2 linked regions of the Notamacropus eugenii genome follow. The protein of the gene in region 2 purifies or fractionates together with the protein of the main gene of each other region. This does not show direct contact. Links are inferred from orthologs where the notes say so. Each region holds a gene or a part of one and is shown on either strand. Other genes may lie near its edges.

Region 1 (10,013 bases), on a different chromosome or scaffold from region 2:
GGGCATTTTTGGATGCTATCCTGATTCATCTCCACACTTTAAAGAATGATTGCCCATATCTAATTTTAGATGATCATATTTTATGTGTTAAATGACTGACTTGGGAAACTCCTCCCAGAAATGTTGACCATGTACCTCAGTAGACAGTTATAGAGTTGTCTGAGATTCACAGATATGCTAAGAGAGTTGTGCAGATACTTAAGTCAGTGGCAGAATATGAACTTGGGTCTTCCTGACTCCAGGTTAGAATACTCTACAGCATATCGTGCTACTTTTAGCAAAGCTCTGACAAAGGACACTTTATTCTACAACAATTTGACAACCCTTAATAGGTAAAAACACAGCATTCTGAATTTTTCTCATCTTTACCTGCCATCAGAAACTATCAGGGAAAAGAATATAGAATGCAAGAAGTGCCTTCAAAATTTTGCTTTTCAAAATTGCTAAGGAATAGGAATACATGGGATGTTCTGATAGTTCAATATTCAAAAACTATTAGTATACATGCCATGCATGAAATTAATAGAGTGAACAGCTATGCCAATCTCAAAAATAATCCTAAGAAGCCCATACTGCTTTCTTTCTAGTACTTAAAGTGAAAATCAACTCTTAGGCCACAGAAAATTACAATGCTTTGACAACATCTACTAAAGGGGAAAACACTTGAATTGCTTAGTATAGTTGCCCATAGGATAAAATATTAGAGGGACATGAGAGTTCATTATTCTATTACTCAAGGTATTACCTGCTTGAAAAACCAAATTATTAACCTTGATTATTTCTCCAATTATTTAACTAAAATAAATCTAAAGAAAATCAAATAGGCTAATAAAACTGCAGATAATTCCTTTATATTGAAGTTTAAGAAGAAGGCAAATTGAGGCAAATCTCCACACAATAAGAGGATGAGAAAATGATACAGAATCAATCTTAATCTTTCCAAGGCACCACAAGACTTCAAGAAAATGCTGGCTCAATTGTACTATAGCTGCTTTATAACTAAGCAACTTTTAGACTTACCAACATAAAGCTAGACCTTGATTTTCTCAACCAAAAATATCTTCTCATGAGCACAGTAGCCTAACTCCATCATAAAAAGTGGGCACATTTTGCCCCAGTGATGAAACATTAGTTCCACTACATGTGCCAGCATCCCTACTCTGAAATCCCAATGTGCCACCACTGCTGCTTACTTGGGAAATAAAAGGAATAAATGGTATACCTGCATCCCTAAACTTTCATGATATATAAAAAAGACTTGTAAAGAATTCCATCTGAAACAAAAAGAAATAAAAACATCATGCTGTCAGAATAGATCATTTTCAAATACTTAAGACAAATTATATGTAATACATATATCTATCTATCTATCTATAATCACAAAAGCAGACTAAACCGTAGTACAATTCATCCAGTTAAAATCCTGTACTTCATCATTTTTTATGCAATAAATAGCCACTAGAAAAGGGGGAAGGATTTTTTTTAAAGGATCATGCCACCAAGGAGAATAAAAAAGGACCACTTCTATGTATAAGCTCCATTTGGTATATTAACACTCCAGTTCTTTCTAATGAATGTCATCATTTGAAACTCCACTTGCAATATTCTCTGAACATATCCCTCTGTTTTTTATAGGCAGTTTATCAACTTAGATAGATTGAACAATTTAAAGACCTAGTGGCAGAAAGGATGATAGATGAAGGAGTTTACATGGCTCATTGTGATCTGCACCCTCTCCTCATCATATTATCTAGGCTTTTAAATGCATTTGTTAACATTTGACAATATGCAAGTACTCTTCTGGACAGCAGGGAATGACGCTTAAAATTTGCCATAAAAGTCTTGAGATGCATATAGTATATCAATCTCCTTGTTACTGTTTTCACGAGAAGATAACTCTTAGGTCAGATTGGGGAGTTAGAAATATCATTAATGGGGGGGGGGGGAAGGGGAGGAAGAAAATAAATGTAGGCACTTTAGTTTGGTGACTGGTGTTTGAATTGGCCTTGAAGTATTTCAGTTTATCAAAATGAGAAACAAGGAAAATGTTCCTCTGACCATAACCTTGACTGCCTTTCATATCCCTCTGGTCTCCAAATAAAAGTTTTGGATGCCAGCTGGACTCCAGGATCCAGGCTCAGAATGGAAAGCAATTGTTTTCTGTCGATCTCAAGAGTCCAAGAAGGACCTATTCAGATGTGACATAGACTATAAAGACTTAAACTCCTTGATGGATGTCACTGAATATTTCTACCCATCCCAATAGCTCATCAGAATTTAAAACTCAGCAAAGGCAAGGAAGTAGTCATTGGTAAGAATGAGTTTCTACTGCAATGATTGATTCTTAAGAACCCCATGGGCTCCACCTCAGTTAACCTACCGGGAGTGAGTAATTCAGCAAGAGAAAATCTTTGCCATTGTCTGAGTGGCATTGCATGCATATTCCCTCTCCTACTTAACTCTTTGACGTCTTCCGGAGAAAAGACTGTCATTTCCAAGGGAAGCATTTCCCACTTTCTTCACCCTACTGATTAGCATATGTCCTAATACTCACTGGACCGGCCCCTTCCCTCTCAAACTCCCCTGGACATCAAACCCAGCGGCCACACCCCCCCACCCAGAAGTTGACTTCGCGATCTCCACGCTAAAATTCACCACCCAGCATCAACTGGGAGCATAGGGAGAGGGACGAGGGCAAAGAAGTAGAGGAAGTAGAAAAGAGAAAGAAGATAAGGAAGACTAAAGCCGCCAGCCAGGATGAATTCTGTATTACAGACATCTTCCCTGGGGGTGGGGTGGGGCGGGGGGGGGGGTGGAAGAAGAAGAAAGAGCGCGTGGAGCTATCCGGGAGATATGGTACCTAAAGCCTGTGTTTGGGCGTCTGCTCCTTCAATTGATCATTGACAACCGCAGTCTCCACCGGCTTGAAGGGGGGTTGGGGAGGGGGTGTCGGCTCACGCCGGCCGCTCCTGGACCGTTTCCCTAGCAAGGGTAGGAGGAAGGTGGCTCAGAGAAAACCCCCGGCCCCAGCGCTTCGCCGGCAAGTGTCTGGACTTGGAGGCAGCAGCAGCAGTATCCCGGCATCTTCAGCAGCCAAAAGGAGAAGCGTCCATCGGAAAAATGGCATATTACAAATTTTGCTTTGGGAAGCAGAGCTCGGCTCAGACCATTGTCAAGAGGAGGAAGGGGGGAGGCGGCTCTTAAAGCCCCAGCGGCCCCTTTCCAGGAGCAACCGCCTCCACACCAATCCACGCTTACAGCTGGAAGGGGAGGCAAGGGAGGCAGCAGGAGGGGGACAGACGAAGCAGCTTGACTTTCCAAAACTTAATCGAATGGACCAGAAATCTCAACTATCTCTCCCTTCCGTCCCCGCCCCCTCCCCCAAGTCTGGGTCACTAGAGGTGAATAAACTCACTCTTGTGTCCCTTAATATGTGGGCACTGAAAAGCATGGGGGGGGGGGTTAGGAGGAAGAGCGCCCCACCTGGTTCTGAGTAGCCACCTTCTCTACAAAGGAGTTGTTAGTGAGCATTCATTAGCCCCAAAGCAACAGTAAAAAGGAACCCCATAGTAGGTGAGAAAGGCTAGGCAGGAATTCACCCTCCCTCCTGCCCCCATCCTGTACAGGTTTGTTCCAGGTTCTGTTCTTAATGCACTTATAAGATGCGCTCCTGGCTCCAAAGGGCAGGTAATACACGCCCTCCACCCTCCTCCCCTCCACACACCCACTTATCTTCCCCAAGCCTCGTGGGGAGGCTTACTTGTCCCAAGCACTCTAAGAAGTTGGCCCGCCCAACCAACCTGCTGCCTGCGCGCGTTGTACAGAAACTGGGCTCCGTGGGGCTGCTAAGGCATCGCTTGCTCCCCTTGCTCGCTCTCCGTGCGCCTCCGCGTTCTCTCCGGCGGCCAGGGGCTTCCCCTGGAAGCTGCTGCAGTGGTTTCCACCGGTCCTTAAATAAATTCTGAAGTAATCACGTCTTTGCTCTCCCCCTCACGCACACGCGCTCTCTCGCAGATAGATCCACACATACACTTGGCTGCCCAGATGCAGCGCCAGGGCCGTTGGTGGTGCGGCTGCCTCTGCTAGGGGCCGGCCCGACAGCTCCCACGGGCTCACGCAACACTCGCTCGCCTGCCCTTGGCTCCCGAAGGCTCAGAGAGAAACCCCGCAGAGAAAAGAGCCGGCAAGGCGGCGAGCTTTGCTCTGGCCTCGCCCCGCACCCCACTCGCTGGCATCCAGCGGTGCCCCGGGTGGAAGATTCGCGCTGCTTCCAGCGGGGACTGGCGGTTCGGTTCGCCCTCCGACCTCTCTCAGGCCCTGGCAGGCGTGCGGTGTGCCACACCGCGGCTCCTTGAAGGAGGAGCCTTCTTTCCCACGGGGCTGGAGACAGAAAGAGCTGGGGTTAACTGTGGTCTGGGTGTGGCAGCAGCGAACAGCTCCAGTCCTCTTCTCCCTCATTCATTGCTTTGGCGATGCTGATGTACCAGGTAAAAAGCGTGACAGCAGTAGCTGCACTCCAGACTTCGAACACTGTCGGTCCTGCCTCGGTTCCCCCGCCACCAACCCTCTCGTCATCTCCCAGATGAGCAGCCTAGCCAGGCTTCCCCCTTCCCACACCAGCCCAAACACACGCACACATTCCAGGAAAGGAGCAGGGAAGATGGGAAGAGGAGAATGTCTGAATTGCAACCTGCCCTACTTAGAGCACTAGTTCTGTCAAAGTAGCTAATCTATTCTCCTCATGCTGGTGATTAGGAAAAAGAGAGGACAGCGGGAGGACTGTGTTCGATTGCATGGCACAATTTTTAAAATGAAATTTAAAAAAAAAAACCAGGACTCTAGAGTCAAAGAAAGTAGTTCAAATCTCATCTCTGCCACTTACTAATTGTGTGACCTTGAACAAGTCACACAGCTTCCTAGTCACACAGGTCAACTTCCTAGGGCCCCATTCTCTTGGGAGAAAAAAAAAAAGAAAGAGATGAGGAGAAAAATGGAAAGGGCATAAAAGTATCACACCTTTAAACTAGACTTATCTAGTGTTTCTAAACATGCAGTTCTTTTCAGGGGCTAGTGTATGTATCCTGGAAAATACAAGGGACAGGCTTTACAGAAAACCCATCTCTTGACAGTCTGAAGAACTATGGCCACAGAGGCATTTTAGGAAAAAAAACCCTATAATTTTTTTTCATGGTCATAGGAGCAACAAAAAGAATGGCTACACATTTTCTCTGATTCCCATGACCTCTCAAATCTCTCCAAAATAGAATTTACATGACAAAGAGAAAGTAACTTCAACTATCCCCATGGTCTAGGACACAAAGAATCCAAATGAAGTTAAAACACACATACACACACACACACATACACACAAGAACTAACACTCACTATCCCTGAGCTAACTTATCACTGCTTCCCCCATGCTATTTCAAGTGAAGCTTTACTAGCACACCCAAGAACAGGACAAAAGCTTCCATGAAAACCCACCCCTGTACCTTGAGTGCCACTCCCTCTTTTCAAAGTCATGGATACCCCAGCTCCAGGCTGTAGAAGTTTGTTCAGTACTAAACAGCCCACTTGGCTACAGCCTTGCAAAAGCAAAAGTCTGCCTGAGATGGCAACCTAGAAGCACCCACAGAGTAAAGCTCTGGCCTAACTGTGGGGGTGGAAGATGGAGTGGGGATAGGCTCTGGGGTATTGGTGCCTAGCCAAGAGAACTGAGGAAGGAGAGAATACAACAGGTCCCTAGGGATGTGAACAGTGAATTGTCTAGTGTGGTAGGAGTCTGAGATGCTTTGAAATCCAGCACCTAAAGAAACCATAATCAGAGGGGAGGGAGTCAGGAAGTGAATGATAAAGAAAATAAGAGGGGAAAAGACTGAAAGTACTAAGAAGAAAAAAACTCAAAGACCTTGAACATAAACAGATAAATTGTAGTAAAAACTAATAGAAGAAGAAGTCTTCCTGAAGGAACTCTTCTGTTTGACTATTACAAATAGTCGTAGGAGCTGGATCTGTGGATTAATTTAGATTGTTCCCAGATGAAAAAATTCCTACAAGCAATGAAGGTCAACACTCTGTAAATCATAGTTTTGAGAGCTAAATAGATCATTGAGCAATTAAGTGACTTGACCAGAGTCATATAGCCAGTTATGTTCCAGAAGTGAGACTTGAACCTGTGTCTCTCTGGTTTTGATACTGGCTCCCTTTCTACCATGCCATCCATACTGTTTCTCATTATTTCATATACCAATCAAAATTTTAGTGTGATCTCATCAATTTAAGAATTCCTTCCAGTGATTCAGATGTTAGCCCAATCATGCCTGCTCCTCTTGTGAGATCTTGTTCATATCGTTGATTTGTAGAACCATATATTGAGAGCTAGAAGAGTCCTGAGATACCACTTTGTCCAGTCATCTTGTTTTACAGATGAAGAAAAGAGGCCCAGAGAGGTTAAATGGTACCGTTATCCCCAGGATGAAACAAAAACTTTGGCATTTAAAGCCCTTGACAACCTGGTTCCAACCTACCTTTGTAGACTTATGAAACATTTGTCCTATAAAGGTACCCTATTGTCTTCTTGTAACACCTTCAAACAAGCTGTTCTCTCCTCTATCTACAAGAAATCTACCCTTTTCCAATCAACTATATTTTGCCAAGCTGATGTTGATTTTCATTGATAGAGGGAGTTTCTTTGTGGGAAGTTATCCAGCAAAATCACAGGTCCAGTCTAATATTGATACCATCTATGGGCATTTATTTATGTATTTGCTCTCTCCTACTATAAAGTGTAAACTCCCTGAAGACAGGTCTTGTTTCCTTTTTTTGCCTTGGTGTCTTCAGTGTCTGGCATGTAATAAAGCCTTATGATAAATGCTTTTAGAGTGATTCATTGATCTGGGGAGAGAAGGGCTAGAAACAGACCCAGTTGAAAAAACCTAGTCTCCTATTACACAATTTAGTCCCCAGTACCCAAGACTTAAGGTCAGCTGGAGCCAAATAAGTCAGAAAGACGTGATAACAGAAGGCATCATTTGTGAAAACCAATCTAACTCCAGTCTCACCTAGCTGTGAAGTTTTCTTGACTATGACTTTTCTCTACTAGACCCTCAGCATGATTACTCTGTCTTACCCCATGGTGACTAGTCTTTTTATCTATGGCTACATTTCAGAAAAGCCCAATGGGTTATGAAAGAGTATTTGTTTTATTTGAAAGCAAGGACAATTGTGTTTGTCAAGAAGAGGCTTTCTCAGTGCCTGGACATAGTAAGGAGCTACCCAGCTTGTCTCCAACTCACCGCTGAAAATGGTTGATTAAGGCAATGTGTCATCACAATAGGGGTGATTTAGGAAATAGCTGCCATTTCCTCAGTAGGTCCAAGGATAATCTTTCTACAATGAAGAAAGATAATAGTATCAGCAGTGAACTGACTTATGAAGTGCATTTTTTTTCCACAACTGGATTTCAGACTGAGACTTTGCTCTGTGTGAAAATGTTTCTCAAGAAAGGATGCAGATCAATTCAGAGGACCATTAGTTTTGGACCTGGAAGGGAACTTTGAGATCATCTGCCAAGCCTAGAGGCCTGTATTGGGCTACCCGAGTCTTCCTTACCTCACCTCCGAGGTCTTCGGCTGGCCACGCCGGATGCACGTATGAGAGAAAGGACGTTCCAGAGTCAAACAGGGGTTGAGCTTTATTACAGGGTTTCGGTTACAAGTGCAGGGGGTCTTCTTTCTTAGGACGAAGAGGGGGAGATTTCCTAAGGAGGCTAAGCTTAAGGGATTGGAAGTAGAAGTACAAGCGGGGAGAGAGGGGGAGGGGAGAGAGGAAAGAAAAGAAGCGGAGCCCTACTTTTCTCTTTGGCTCCACACGTGCTAAGAGAGCTTTCAGGCTTCCTCAATCCTACTTAACCTTCAGCCACACAGTTTGCATCTCAATACCGTGCTGTTAGGTAACTAGGTGTGCTCCAATCCGGGACGACCTCGAGGGCAGGGAGACTCCACCCATCACATATCTCCAGGGGAGAGGCGGAAATACCCGAGCTAGCCGAGCTAGCTCGGTCTGACCTTCTCGAACCCCCGCTGTTCATGGAGGGCCTCGTAAGACTCTAAGATTTAGAAGTCCCACTTTTACCTGCCCGAGACTGTCCACACGGAATTGAGCTTCCAGTCCCAACAATCATCTAATGCAACCATTCCTTCTACATATAAGGAAACCCAGACTAAAAAGTTAAATTATTTGCTTAAGGCCACATGGGTACTGTAAGCTGGACCTGGGTGGGGAGAACCTTGACCCCTCCTCTCCTCCCCAAAAAAAGTCAGGGTAAATTAGAATTAACTAGATATAGAGTGGGATCACTGCATGCTACAATATAGCTGTGACTTAGTAGTCCTAGAAGAGAAAGGGAACTTGGAGGCATGTAGTACAGGAACCTCATATTAGAGATAAAGAAATTAGGGCTGGGGTGGAGGGGTTAGTAACATGCCCAAGGTCATTTAAGTAGTATCAGAGGGGTCATTTGAACCCTGGTTATCTGGCTAGAGAGCCAGCCAGTGTTCTCCACTCTATACTAGGGAGTTTTAGGTGGTTTAGTGGTTGCTCATGGTAATACAACTGTAATTGTTTCTCTTTTACCAGGAAGCTTTAGAGTCTTCCCCTCCCAGTTTGATTTTTTTTTTTTTTGATTAAAGGGGCCATTCCTTGAGCACCTACTTAAAGAAGCCTATTCATTGAATGAATCTATCTCACTCAAAGTGAGAATGCTATAAGACCTTAGCCTGAAAGGGCCAGGGTCTCACATTGCATCCTGGGCCATCTCCAGTCATCCTAATGAATATCAGGCCACTGGATCCAGATGGCTCAGGAGGAGAAAGTGAGGTTGGTGACCTGCACAGCTCTCCCTCACTCATATCAAAGTCAAGTGCAAGTCATGTCATCATCTTGATGTCATGGTCCTCTTCAAGAAGGAAGAACAAACACAACAACAACAACTAATGTCAGAAACAGTGTTTGAACCCACATCTTTGAGATTCTAAGCCAGGAATTCTTTTTTAAATATATTTTTCTATATTTAATCTTAAATTTATGGAGTAAAACAAGCACTTTCATAACATAGTATAATAAAAATAATTGCATATGAAATTGCAAATCTATTATGTAGAGCTTGCTATTCCTGTTAAATATATAATAAAGTCATCATATAAATTTTCCCTGTTTTTCTTCCCTCCCCCATCCATGCCTTAGAGATGATGGCCATTAAACACAAATATGCATGCGTGCATGCGTGTGTGTGTGTAAAATTATTCTGTTCATACTTCTGTTTATCAGTTCTTTCTCTGAGTGCAGATAGCATCTACTTCCATATGTCTGGAAATTAATTTGAGTATTTATAATAGGCAAAATGACTTATTCACTCAAAGTTGTTCTTACAACAATTTTGCTCTCACTTTATACAACATTCTCTTGGTTCTTCTTATTTCACTCTTCATTATTTTATGCAGGTCTACCCATGTTTTTTCTTAAGTTCATCATTTCTTATCTCACAGTAGTATTCTATCACCATCACACACAGCTTACTCAGCCATTCCGCAAATGATGGGCATCGCTGCAATTTCCAATTCTTTGCCACCGCCAGGATTTCTTCATATTTATTTTGTCATAGGCAATGATAATGCATTGAAGCCTAGCAAGCCCTTCCTGAAACATCATTTTTAATAAATAAAACAAGATATATAGGATTACAAAGGAAACTAATTACATTTTAAAAGCTATTAAGTTCTTTTTTTTTTTAATTCATGGGCACCAGGTTAAGAACCCACACTGAAGCCCAGCCCCCTATCTCTTATCCCCTGCTACTTCTCCTAGATTATCATTACTGAAAACACTTGAGATTACATTTTTCCCTATTAGGATTGTCCTTATGGTTATCTGACTTTGGTTCAAGATATAGATAGGTAAATCGATAGATCAATAGATATAACTGTTAATGACAGCTACTATTTATATCATTATCT
Region 2 (11,072 bases):
AGTGCAGGCTCCAAAACATTCTAGCTCTGTGACCCTGGGAGAGTCAATTCCTCTCTGAACCTCAGTTTCCTCTTCTGTAAAATGGCCACAATAATACTTAGTCTATCTAGGTCATAGGGCTACCACAGGAAAAGTGCTTTATCAACATTAAAACACGCAAAGAGCTGTCCAAAAGGTCAAATGAGATCATGGATATAAAACACTGCACCAAAACAGCACTGCAAAATGTTTGCTTTCATCATATACACATTCCATTCCCCTCCTAAACATAGGCTGTCCTTGAAGGCAAGGGCTACACAAGGTCTACTACACTGTGGCGCTCAGCTCGGTGACCTGAACAAAGGACTCCCTTAATGATGGTCTGCTTACCGAGCTAACTCTTGATGAGAGCAGAGGGAAGAGAATGAAAATCGCTGCCAACACTTGACACCCCTAACCTCCCCCCTCTCTCCCCCTGCTTATTTACGCCTATAACATGCGAAAGAGATTGTGAAGAAAGGGAAAACACTGGGCAAAGAGGGCAGAAAACTTGGCCAGGTGATTTCTAAGGTCCCTTTAAAGGCCTCTCTTCTAAACTATTTCCATGTAACAATTCAGTTGCCTCATTTTCCTTAACCAAAAAACAGAACAAACAAATCTATGCATTAGAAAAATTAATCTAGCAGCCCATAAAGTCTGGATTTGAGAGGGGAAGAGGCTAGAAGCAGGAAGATCTCTTAGGAGCCCCCGCTGATAGTAAAAGCAGTCCCATCTACGAGCCACATTTTATCCTTTCCTGTGGAAGGAGATTAACAAAGCTATTACCTGCTGGCCACCACTTCCAGGAAGTCTTTGGCAAATGGGAATTAACTCTCTCTCCCATGAGTGACTCATCTCTCCAGATGAGCATATAGTCTCTGAGGACAAGACTGTTATTCATCAGTGTCTCAGGAGCACAGGGCTTAGCCACACAAGCCTTTAGATCAGAGCTGGGAGGGCCTTCACAAACCATGCACACTCCCCTGACCTTGCAGATGGGGAAACCACTGAATAAATGAATAACTGGCTTCCAGCCTATTTCCCTTCCAAGATCCCCCCGCACCCCCAGCACCATGGTAACAATGCTCCCTGGCACTGGTGGAGAGCTTTAAGGTTTACAAAAGGCATTTCATTCCCATTCGACTCCGCAAATGTTCTCCAAGACTGAAATCAAGCAAAACCATATCATTCCAGGCATCAGCTGCAAAGATAGAAAGGTGGGAGAGCATAGGCTGTCAAGAGAAGATGGTGAGTGAGGGTGACCACTTTGGCCAGGGCCTAAGGGTACATAAAGAGAAGTAATAGGAGATTGGCTAGAAGGGTAGGATGTGGTCTAGCAGGGAAGGCCTTAAATAACCAGAAGAGTTTGAACCTTGGTCTTTGGGCTGCAGGAAGTCATTGAAGGCTTTTGAGCTCAGGAGTGCCATGAAAAAAAAATCTACTATTGGGAAGAGTAATGCTTTCCCTCTGTTAATTATATCCTATTTAGCCTGTACATAGCTTGCTTTGTGTATAACTGCTTAGATGTCATCTTCCCCATTAGATTTTAAACTCTGTGTGCGCAGGGACTGACTTTTGCCTCTTTTTGTTTTCCCAGTGCTTGGCACATAGTAGGCATCTAATAAATCACAAATTTAGGGCTGGAAGGACTTAGAGACACCAAGCCCAACCACCTCATTTCAAAGATGAGGAAACTGAAGGTCTCAGAAGTCAAGTGACTTGCCCAAGATCACACAGCTAGTAAGTATTTGAAAGAGGATTTGAGCTCAGGTCTTCCTAAGCCCATGTCTAGTACCATATCTACCATTCTTAAAACCATTAAGACCTAGATTCTAACCTCAGAGTACTATCTAGGTGGCAAATTAAAAAGCCAACAATTATAATGGAAAACAAACTCTCTAAATGCCTAAGATAGAGAGAAGCATGAGGTCAAACACGGTTTTGGAGAAAGAACAGATCACTTCCAGCTAAAGTGACCAGAGCAGGCTTCCTGGAAAAGATGACTTTGAAGTTGAGCTTGTAAAAACACAAAGCATGGGGAGCACTTCAACAGATCTAGAATGGTAAAGGGAAGGAAGTAAGGCCACTCCAAGCAGAAGGAATGGTCCATCTAGCCTGGCTGGTGGGGACAGGCGAAGTATATAAGGGAACTGGAAAGAGACTGTAAACTCCTTAAGAGCAGGCACTGTCTTTTGCCTCTTTTTGTATCTCCAAAGCTTAGCCCAGTTCCTGGCACATAGCAGGCATTTAGTAAATGTTTATTAATTGATGATGTGATTGAAGAGATCACAGGATTTAAAACAGGAAGAGGGAGAGGTAGTATCTTAGGGATCATCTAATCCAAATCTTTCATTTTGGAGAAGAAACAAAACTCAAGGATGTTGAGCGACTTGTTCAAAGTCAGGAGGGAAAAATTAAATAAGAGCTGGGATGTGGACACGACCTCTAATTCCAAAACTGGTGCTTTCACTATATCAACTACATGGCTCTAATAGGTTAAAAACCCTAAATCAGATCCTCTTGGCCTGTGGGAAAGCTAGGAAAGGTTGCTAACCAAGTGAAAGACTGCTTCATGGCTCAGCTTTAGGGAACAGCCCTGGAAACTGGAGTCTGAAGACTTGGATTCCAGTTACTGTTCCGCTACTTAGGAGCTAACGACATGACCCTGGGTGAGACCTTTTCCATAACTCTTTGGGCTGGCAAGGCTGAGGGGCAGAGGGAGGAACTATCCAAAGACCCTCTGCTCCCAGTGTTCCCCACTGTAAGCCATCCTTCGTGGGGTGGCCTCCCAGGTTCATCCTCCTAATTGACATCCAGATTCCATGGCACTCCTGAGCTGAAAAGCTTGTGGTTATTTCAGACCCTCCCGAGTCAGGCCCCACACTGACTGCCCTTCTAGCTTCCCTCACGTTATTCCCCTTTATTCCCTCAAGCCTCCACAAAGCGGTCCATTCCCGGTAAATTCTCTCTACTCTCCCACCTCCACGCCTTTGCAACCTATGCCTAGAACGACCTCGCTCTTCTTGACCCACAGAATTCCCACCATCGAGTCCGTCCCACCTCCTCCAAGAGGCCTTCCCCGACACCCCCCCCCTTCTTTCCCCCTCGGGCACACAGCATACTATCGTGCTTTAGTTCTCCCCACACTAGGGCAGGAGCCCCCCTGGGGGGAGGGGGCGGCCCCGCAGCCTCAGCAGGAGGAGGACCCTAAGGGAAGGTTGTTCTGGATTGGAGATTCTTCCCCGTTGTACAAACAGGGAAACTGAGGCCCAGGGAGGGGCTGTGACTTCCCCAAGGTCATGCAGTGGTCAGTCAGAGTCACGGGCACAAACAGACGTCCGACTGCACTACGCCCAGCCCCCAGAGGCCCGGGTCCGGGTCCCACCCGGCCCCAGACCCCGCGGAGGGAGCAGAGGGGCCGGGAGCCCAACCTGGGCCTCCGAGCCTCGGCCTGGCTCTGTCCAATGGAAAGCCGCCAAGGGGGCGGGCTCTCCTCGGCGATTGGCTCGGCTCGCCGTTCAGCATCACCCCCGGAGGGTACTTTCTCTACCCAGAGGGTCATAGGCTTGAAGAGGGGTTGGGGGAGAATCAAGATGGAGAAATGGGGGGGGCCCCAAAAGCACCACGGCCTAGGCTCCCTCGAGAGGCCTGGACCCAGCTGGGGATTTAATCCCCAAGCCACCAATTAGGAACCTCGGAGGAGCTAAGCCCCGCCCCTTGCAGGGGCCGCTCCCCTGCCTTAACCCACTGGGGGGTCCCCGCTTTCCGTCCGTGCCCAGAGCGAATCGAGAGGCTCTTTGCTCGCCGCGAACCAATTAGGTGGCCCCCTGCGCGCCGTGAGAACCAGGAGTGCCAGCCAATCAGGGGTTCCGGAGGCAGCCCCCGCGCCCGCGCTCCCGCCCCCTGACAGACCCGCTTGGCCTGGGGTCCCCGGGCCGGGCGCCCCCTCCCCAGCGGCACCGCTGTCCAATCAGAGATGCTGTCTCAGCGAGCCACGGAGGCGCGAGACAAGCGACGCGGGCGCTGATTGGTCCGCTTTCCCTCCCCCCACCCCCAGCCCTCAGATGCCAAGAACGCCGAGCCAGCCGCCCGCGCCGCCCGCAACCCCAGGACCCCCGGGCCCCGATCCCGGCCCTGACCTGGACGTCCTCGTTACGGAGCTCGTCGATGAGTACTGCGATGGGATAGAGCGAGTCATCGCCGTCGGCCGCCGCCATCTTGGCTCCGTCCCGCTCCCGTCAGGCTTCGGCAGCCGAGCCGAGCTGAGGGAAGGGAAGGGAAAGGAAGGGAGTGGGACGGGGCGGGGCGGGGGAGGGGCAGAGACACAAGCAGAAGGGGGGGGGGGTCTCCCAAGCGACTTTGCAGGGGTTTCTGGGCTTCCATTGGCCAGTCCGCACGAGGCACCGCGCGCCCATTGGCCCGAGTAGACAGGGACACGCCCCCTATCCTCTATTGGCCAGGGGAGAAAGGGGCCTTCTCTCTAGCTGGCCCACTTCCCGTAGAGGGGCGGAGGAAGAAGGGGCGGGCTGCTGCCACTGGCATCCTAGCAACCGAAGTGGGCCCGCCTCCTCCTAATCGATCTCCAAAATTTCATTGGTCATCGCCCCTAGCGACAGACCGACTGCAGCACATCCTGCCAATAGGAGGTGACGGACGGTGACGAGACTCGGCCTAGAGGAGGCCGGGCTCTTGGAGCGGTGCGATGACGTCATCTTCGGGGACTGAGAATGCGCGCTCCCACCCTGCTTCTCCCCCTGGTCCGCGCTGCCAGGTGCAGAACCTCGGCATGGGCGTGTCTGGCTTCTCCCAGGAAGCTGACGTCAGAGCGGGAAGGGCGTTTAGAGATCACTTAATCTGATTACACCTGAGCCCTAAGGAGTCGAGCTTCGTGATTTCACGGAGTATACCCTCAGTTGTCAAAGGCAGCGTGTTGTAATGGAAGGAACCCTGTGCCTGGGTTCGAATCCTGCCTGTGCCCCTAGTTCTCTGGGCATCCCCGGTCAAAAGCCCTCCCTGGGTTTTCCCCTCTGTAAAACGGACTAGAGAGACCCGAAGGTTCATCTCAGCTCTGGCCCTCAGAGCATTTACTGAGTGACTGCTGAATACAAAAGAAGCAAAGAAAGTGGGTCAAAGAACAGGGCCTCAGGAAGCTTCCAGGAGCTAGCCAGAAGGGCAGCCTATGGACACGAGAAAGTATGATACTGGGGCAGAGGAAGGAGGTGTTGGACCTGCTGGCTTCCCCAAGAACGGGGCCTCAAGAAGCTTCCAGAAGCTAGCCAGAAGGGCTAGCCTATGGACACGAGAAAGTGTGATACTGGGGCAGAAGAAGGAGGTGTTGGACCTGCTGGCTTCCCGGGTCCCTTCCAGCTGTCAGAGCCTGAATCGAGCGTAGACTGTCAAGCCCATGGCCACCTTAATTAATGGCAGTGGTACAGGGAGTCCTCAAACTCTCAGGGCCATTTTCTGTTAGCAAAGGTGTCAAAGCTTCCTGTTTACAGAACAGGACCCCTTCTCATTACAGATGAGACTCAGAGACAGAAAGGGACTTGCCCAGGGTCACACAGCCACAGTGTCTGTGGCAGGATTCCAATATGGGTCTTCCTAAGGCCAAGTCCCACATTCTACCAGAGTGCCAACCCCTCTCTGCTCAGGTCCCATGTTTCTGCTTGGATAGAATCCTAGACCTGGAGTGAGGTGAGACCTAAGAAACCAACTCGTCATTTGTTGTTCAGTCATTCAGTCTTGTCCAACTCTTGGTGACCCCATTTGAGGTTTTCTTGGCAGAGATACTGGATGGGGTTTGCATTTTCTTCTCCCTTTTACAGATGGGGAGACTGAGACAAACAGGGTGAAGTGACTTGCCCAGGACCACACAGCTAGTAAGTGTCTGAGGCTGGATTTGAACTCAGATTTTCCCAACTCCAGGCTTGGTGCTCTGTCTGCTGCTCCTCCTAGATGACTATCATCTCATCGTAAGAGCCTAGATTTGGAGCTTTAAGGGAATCTTGGAGGTCTTCTAGTTCAGCCCTTTCTTCTTTCAGATAAGGAAACAGAGGCCAGAGACATGAAATGATTCTTCCAAGGCCATACAGTGAATCAGTGGAAGCACCAGGATCTGACTCCAAACTCAGTGGGTTTTCCTGTTGTTTTTTGGAGAAGGTGGTCCCTGAGCTGGGGTTTGAAAGAAGATAAGGTGTTCAGCAGGTGTGGGGGAAGGGGAGTGGCTATGCCAGGCATAATGGAGAGCATGAGCAAAGGATCATGGGCAGGTGAGAGTGGAGGTAGGCAGCCTGGCTCAGGGGAAAGGTGCTCTGTGTGAAGGGAATGGTGAGAGAGAAGACTGGACAGGTAGGCTGGATTGTGGGAGGCTCTCAGTGCCAGGATTGAGAATTTAAGATTTTATTTGGGAGACAACCTTCTAAGGTTCCTCCCAGCTTTGACCTCCTACATGCTGAGTTTTGCCCCAGCCCTGACATCCCATGTTCCAAGGGCTCTCTCAGCCTAACATTCTGGGTTCTAAATTCCCTGTGATATTCTATGATTCCATGATGTCATCTTCTCCTTCATTCACACTGACCTTTCCAACTATCCTTTCCTCCTATCTTTCCATATTCCCCTAGGTCCTTGTTCTCGTCAATCTCTTCCTGTACCCTGCCTTCTCTTCCTCGGCCTGTGTATAGGTGTAAGTCTTCCTCAACCTACAAACCTTTCCACTTCCATCCATCCCCTCTTTGTCATAACCAGACTGCTAGAAAGAGTCATCTGTACTCCACTGCCTGCCCTTCCTTACTGTCCATCAAACATCAAGCATTTATCAGGCCTCTAAAATATGCCAGGCACTGTGCTAGCCACTAGTGATTCAAAAACAAAAATCAAATGTTCCCTGCTCTCACAGGGGCTGACATTCTGTCAGAGTGCTAGGGAAAGCCTAATGCCAACACCTATAGTTCACGTTCAAGAGTGGGACTAAATGAGACACTTACAAGTCATTGAACAGTTGACCAAAGGAGGTTTCCTTTGCTATAACCAGAAAGGATAAGCAACAAGAAGATTGACTTCTTTGGACTCAGCCCCACTTATCTCCATATGGAAACACATTTGGTGGTCAAGGCAGGCTATGATGATTTCAGAAACCTACAGATTCAGAAGGTCCTGGCTCCACTTGGACAGGATTTTCTATGCCCTTGGGTACCTAGGAAACTGAGTAGGGAGGAAGGGCCAAACAGCTGCTAGGGGCCATTTAGTTGCCTTTTAGAAAAACTAATCCTTGATTCTAGGAATCAGGGGAAGCAAGGTTGTATCACTCAGGGAAAGGGAGAAGTGTTTGTACAAGTGCAGACAGACTAGAAATGCACCAGTCTCTATGCCCTTACAATCTGACTTCCACTCAGCCCACTGAAAATGCTTCCTTCTGAAGTCATTCCTCGTCCTTCTTGTCAACTTCTCTGCAGCATTGCTACACGCAGGAAGCTCCCTCTTCTTCTGGATCCCATCCCCTAAAACTCCTCTTATGCTCCTCCCTGACAGTTCTGCCCCTCTGAGCACTGTGCCTCTGTCTCCTTGGCTGGCTCATCACCAGCCTCAAATTCCCCAAGTCTGGAGCTTCCCAATGGGTCTGTCCTTGGAGCAAGTCTCTCCATATTCTCTGCCTTCTCCATCATTCCTGTGATTTCTGTTATCACCTCTGTACATTGACCAAGCACAGTGCCTGGCACACAGTAGATATGTGGCAAATGTCTGTGCACTCCGATCGTTAAATCTGTCTGTCCAGCCCTCTGTGCCCTGTCTCTGACTGCTGTGATGGTTGTCTGGTATGTATGTGCCCAGATTTCTTCAACTTACTCAGTTGATGCAACGTGGAGAACCTGAGAAATGAGGATCTTTCTGGGAAAACAGTGAAGACATGTATGAGGGAGCTCTGGTGGGGGGGGTAGGGACCAGATCATGCATGGTCATTCTGTGACTGGTTCCCACTGACTAACCAGATCACAAGGCCAAGGAGAGCCTTCTTCAGACGTGCTGGCATTTCCAAAAGGCAGGCCCCAGCAAGCTCCAACCACCTCCACTTGCTTTATTCACAACATGGGGAGTGTGGTGGTCATAGGGCCCCAAGACACCAGCCTTGGTCTCTGGGCCTTTTTCTTTGTTCCTTTCTGTTCTAGGTCTGGGAAGCAGAGTTTCCCACTCATTTAGGGGCAGCAAGCATTCGGATTATGAGAGTCACAATCCAGGCCAGATGAGGCCACCAGCCCCATCAGTTACCCCAGGAGCAAGGAGAGATTTGGGGTAATGAACTGTGAGAGAATTCATCCAGCACTCTGGACAGTAACTTAGTGGGCCCAGAGCCAAGGAGGCCCCCAACTAAGATTTGAGCCTTCTCTCTCAGAGAACAAGGTGATGTAGGGAAGTGTCTGTCCCGGAGGGCTTGGCAGGCCACAATATAGAATTTCAAGAGTGTCTACTAACAAAGTGGGTCAGTGGTGACCTCCAGAAGGCCAGTGAGGCTAAAGCATGACAAGGTATTTTATAGCAACGAACAAGATTCCTGAACAAAATTTCAAGCTGCAGAAGAGTCTTATTCTGAAAAGCCAGAAAGTCAAAACCCCTAACCTCAGTTTGAAAATACCATCTCTTGGATCTCTCTTTATAAACACCGCCCCCCCTCCACTCCCAAGATCACCAGGCAAAGATATGACAACCCCACCTAGAGAGATGGAAATAGTCTACAATTTAGTTTAAGCCTGTTCTTTTCCCACCATGTGGGTGGTATGTGAAGTTATAAGGGTAAAGATACAAGTTACAAGATAAGAATTGTAACTCAGGTGACTTGAAGTTACCTGAGTGAAACTTTCAAAGGGGAATATTAAATCTAATTTGATAAACTATAATAATAGAATTAAAATCAATTTTCAATTTCACAATTTCTTCTTACTGTACCTTTGAAGCAAAAATAAAAAATTCCCTTTGCAAAAGCCTGTGTTAAATTGTTCAAAGGAACTGGGATGTTAGATACGAACTCCCTAACAACAGAGGGAATAACAGCCTGAGGGGACTTAAGCCTCAGGGTTGCCCTGGAAGCCTGAGGTGAAATGGAATAGGCCTGGCCCTGGTTACAGGACATCCCCTGTGCACCTCCATAGAACCTCGAGCTAGATCTCCCTCTCAGTCTGCTCTTTCTAACCTCAGTGTTTCTTTTGAGGGCATGACCAGGTTCTCAGACTCCTCTCGTCCTAAGCTTGCAGTGTTGCAAACCTGAAAGGGCTAAATAAATTTTAATCTGATTACCTTGACTTTTCCTTCTTGTATTTATTGTAGTTGTTCAGTCCTATCCAACTCTTTGTGACCCCATGGCCCCTATGGAGGTCATTCTATCCTCCACTGTATCCCAAAGTCTGTCCAAGCTCATGTTCTTTGCTTCCATGACACCGTCTACCCATTTCATCCTCTGCTGTCCCCTTCTCCTTTTGCCTTCAGTCTTTCCCATCATCAGTGTCTTTTCCCCTTGAGTTCCATCTTCTCATTATGTGGCCAAACTAAAAAAGCCTGAATCAATTTCTTTAAGTTTTAACTGATTTGATCTCCTTATTATCCAAGGGACACTCAAAAGTCCTCTCCAGCACCAGCTTTCAAAAGTGTTGATTCTGCAGTGCTCAGCTTTCCTTATAGTCCAGCTCTCACAGCCATACATTACTTCTGGAAAAACTATAGCTCTGACTATACGGACCTTTGTCAGCATGGCGATGTCTCCCTTTTTAGTACGCTGTCCAGATTTGCCATAGCTTTCCTTCCAAGGAGCAAATGTCTTTTAATTTCATGGCTGCAGTCAGCATCTACAGTGATCTTTGAGTCCAGAAATATAAAATCCAACACTGCTTCCGTTTCTTCTTCCTCTCTTTGCCAGGAAGTGATGGGATCAGTTGCCAAAATCTTAGTTGGTTTGCGTTTTTGGTTTTTCTATGTTAAGCTTTAAGCCAGCTTTTGCACTCTCCTCTTTCTCCCTCATCAAGAGGCTTCTTGGTTTTTCTTCACTTTCTCCCATCAGAGTGGTATCATCTGCACATCTGAGATTGTTCATATTTCTCTCGGCATCCTTAAATCCAGCTTTGAAGTCATCCAGTCTGGGATTTCCCATGATCTACTCTGCATCTAAGTTAAATAAACAAGGTGACGTGTGCAGCCTTGTCTTATTCCTTTGTGAATCTTAAATCAATCAGTTATCTCATGTTCATTTCTAACTGTTAATTCTTGACCTGCATACAGCTTCCTCAGGAGACAAGTACAATGATCTGGTACTCCAGTTTCCTTGAGGACTTGCCACATTTTGTTGTGATTCACACAAAGGTTTCAGTGTAGTCAATGAGGCAGAAGTAGAGGTTTCTCTGAGACTCCCTTGCTTTCTCCATAATCCAGCACGCCTCTTTGAGGACCATCCTACTCTTCTGATAATTCTTAATTCACATATTCCCGAAGCCTAGCCTGCAGAATCTTAAGTATGACCTTTCCAGTAGGTGAAGTGAGTCCATTTCTTCAGTAATTTGAGCAGTCCTTGGTGTTATCTTTATTTAGGATTGGAACATAAAGTGATCTTTTCCAATCCAGTGACCGCTGCTGAGTTTTCCGAATTTGCTGGCCTCTGGAGTGCAGCGCTTTACCAGCATCACCTTTCAGGATTTTAAATAGCTCAGCTGGCATTCCATCCCCTCCACCAGCCTCACTACTAGCAATGCTTCCTGAGGCCCACTGGACTTCACCCTCCAGGATGTCTACCTCTAGATCAGTAACCACCCCATCATAGTTATTGGAGATGTTAAGATATTTCTTGTGCGGTGCGTCTCTGTATTCTTGCGACTCACTTTCTGCCAGAGAGGGGAGAGATATAAAATGCAGACTGGGACCAGCATCGCTGCTTTGCTATGAAAAATTTTTTATTGTTATGAAGGTCTCCTCCTTTTCTTTTTGCTATTTACCTCTCCCTAACCCTCCCGAAAAAATAAGACACAAATGGAGAATAATCATAAACAAGAGGCATTTGGCACTCAGTTGGCATTTAATGA

The links. Proteins that work in one complex are often made in the same cells at the same time.
Region 1: the proteins of PPP2R1A (region 2) and PPFIA2 purify together in Homo sapiens (affinity purification with mass spectrometry; 3 studies listed by BioGRID and IntAct, with this or other methods). This does not show direct contact. The link is inferred for Notamacropus eugenii from reciprocal best matches to the Homo sapiens genes PPP2R1A and PPFIA2.

What each region holds. Positions count from the first base shown.
Region 1 is NC_092874.1:262,149,746-262,159,758, forward strand, and holds the start of PPFIA2 (liprin-alpha-2), read right to left. Parts: upstream 4,431-10,013; 5' UTR 3,801-4,430; intron 1-3,800. UniProt on the Homo sapiens protein: Alters PTPRF cellular localization and induces PTPRF clustering. May regulate the disassembly of focal adhesions.
Region 2 is NC_092876.1:25,190,243-25,201,314, forward strand, and holds the start of PPP2R1A (serine/threonine-protein phosphatase 2A 65 kDa regulatory subunit A alpha isoform), read right to left. Parts: upstream 4,351-11,072; 5' UTR 4,236-4,350; coding exon 4,158-4,235; intron 1-4,157. UniProt on the Homo sapiens protein: The PR65 subunit of protein phosphatase 2A serves as a scaffolding molecule to coordinate the assembly of the catalytic subunit and a variable regulatory B subunit.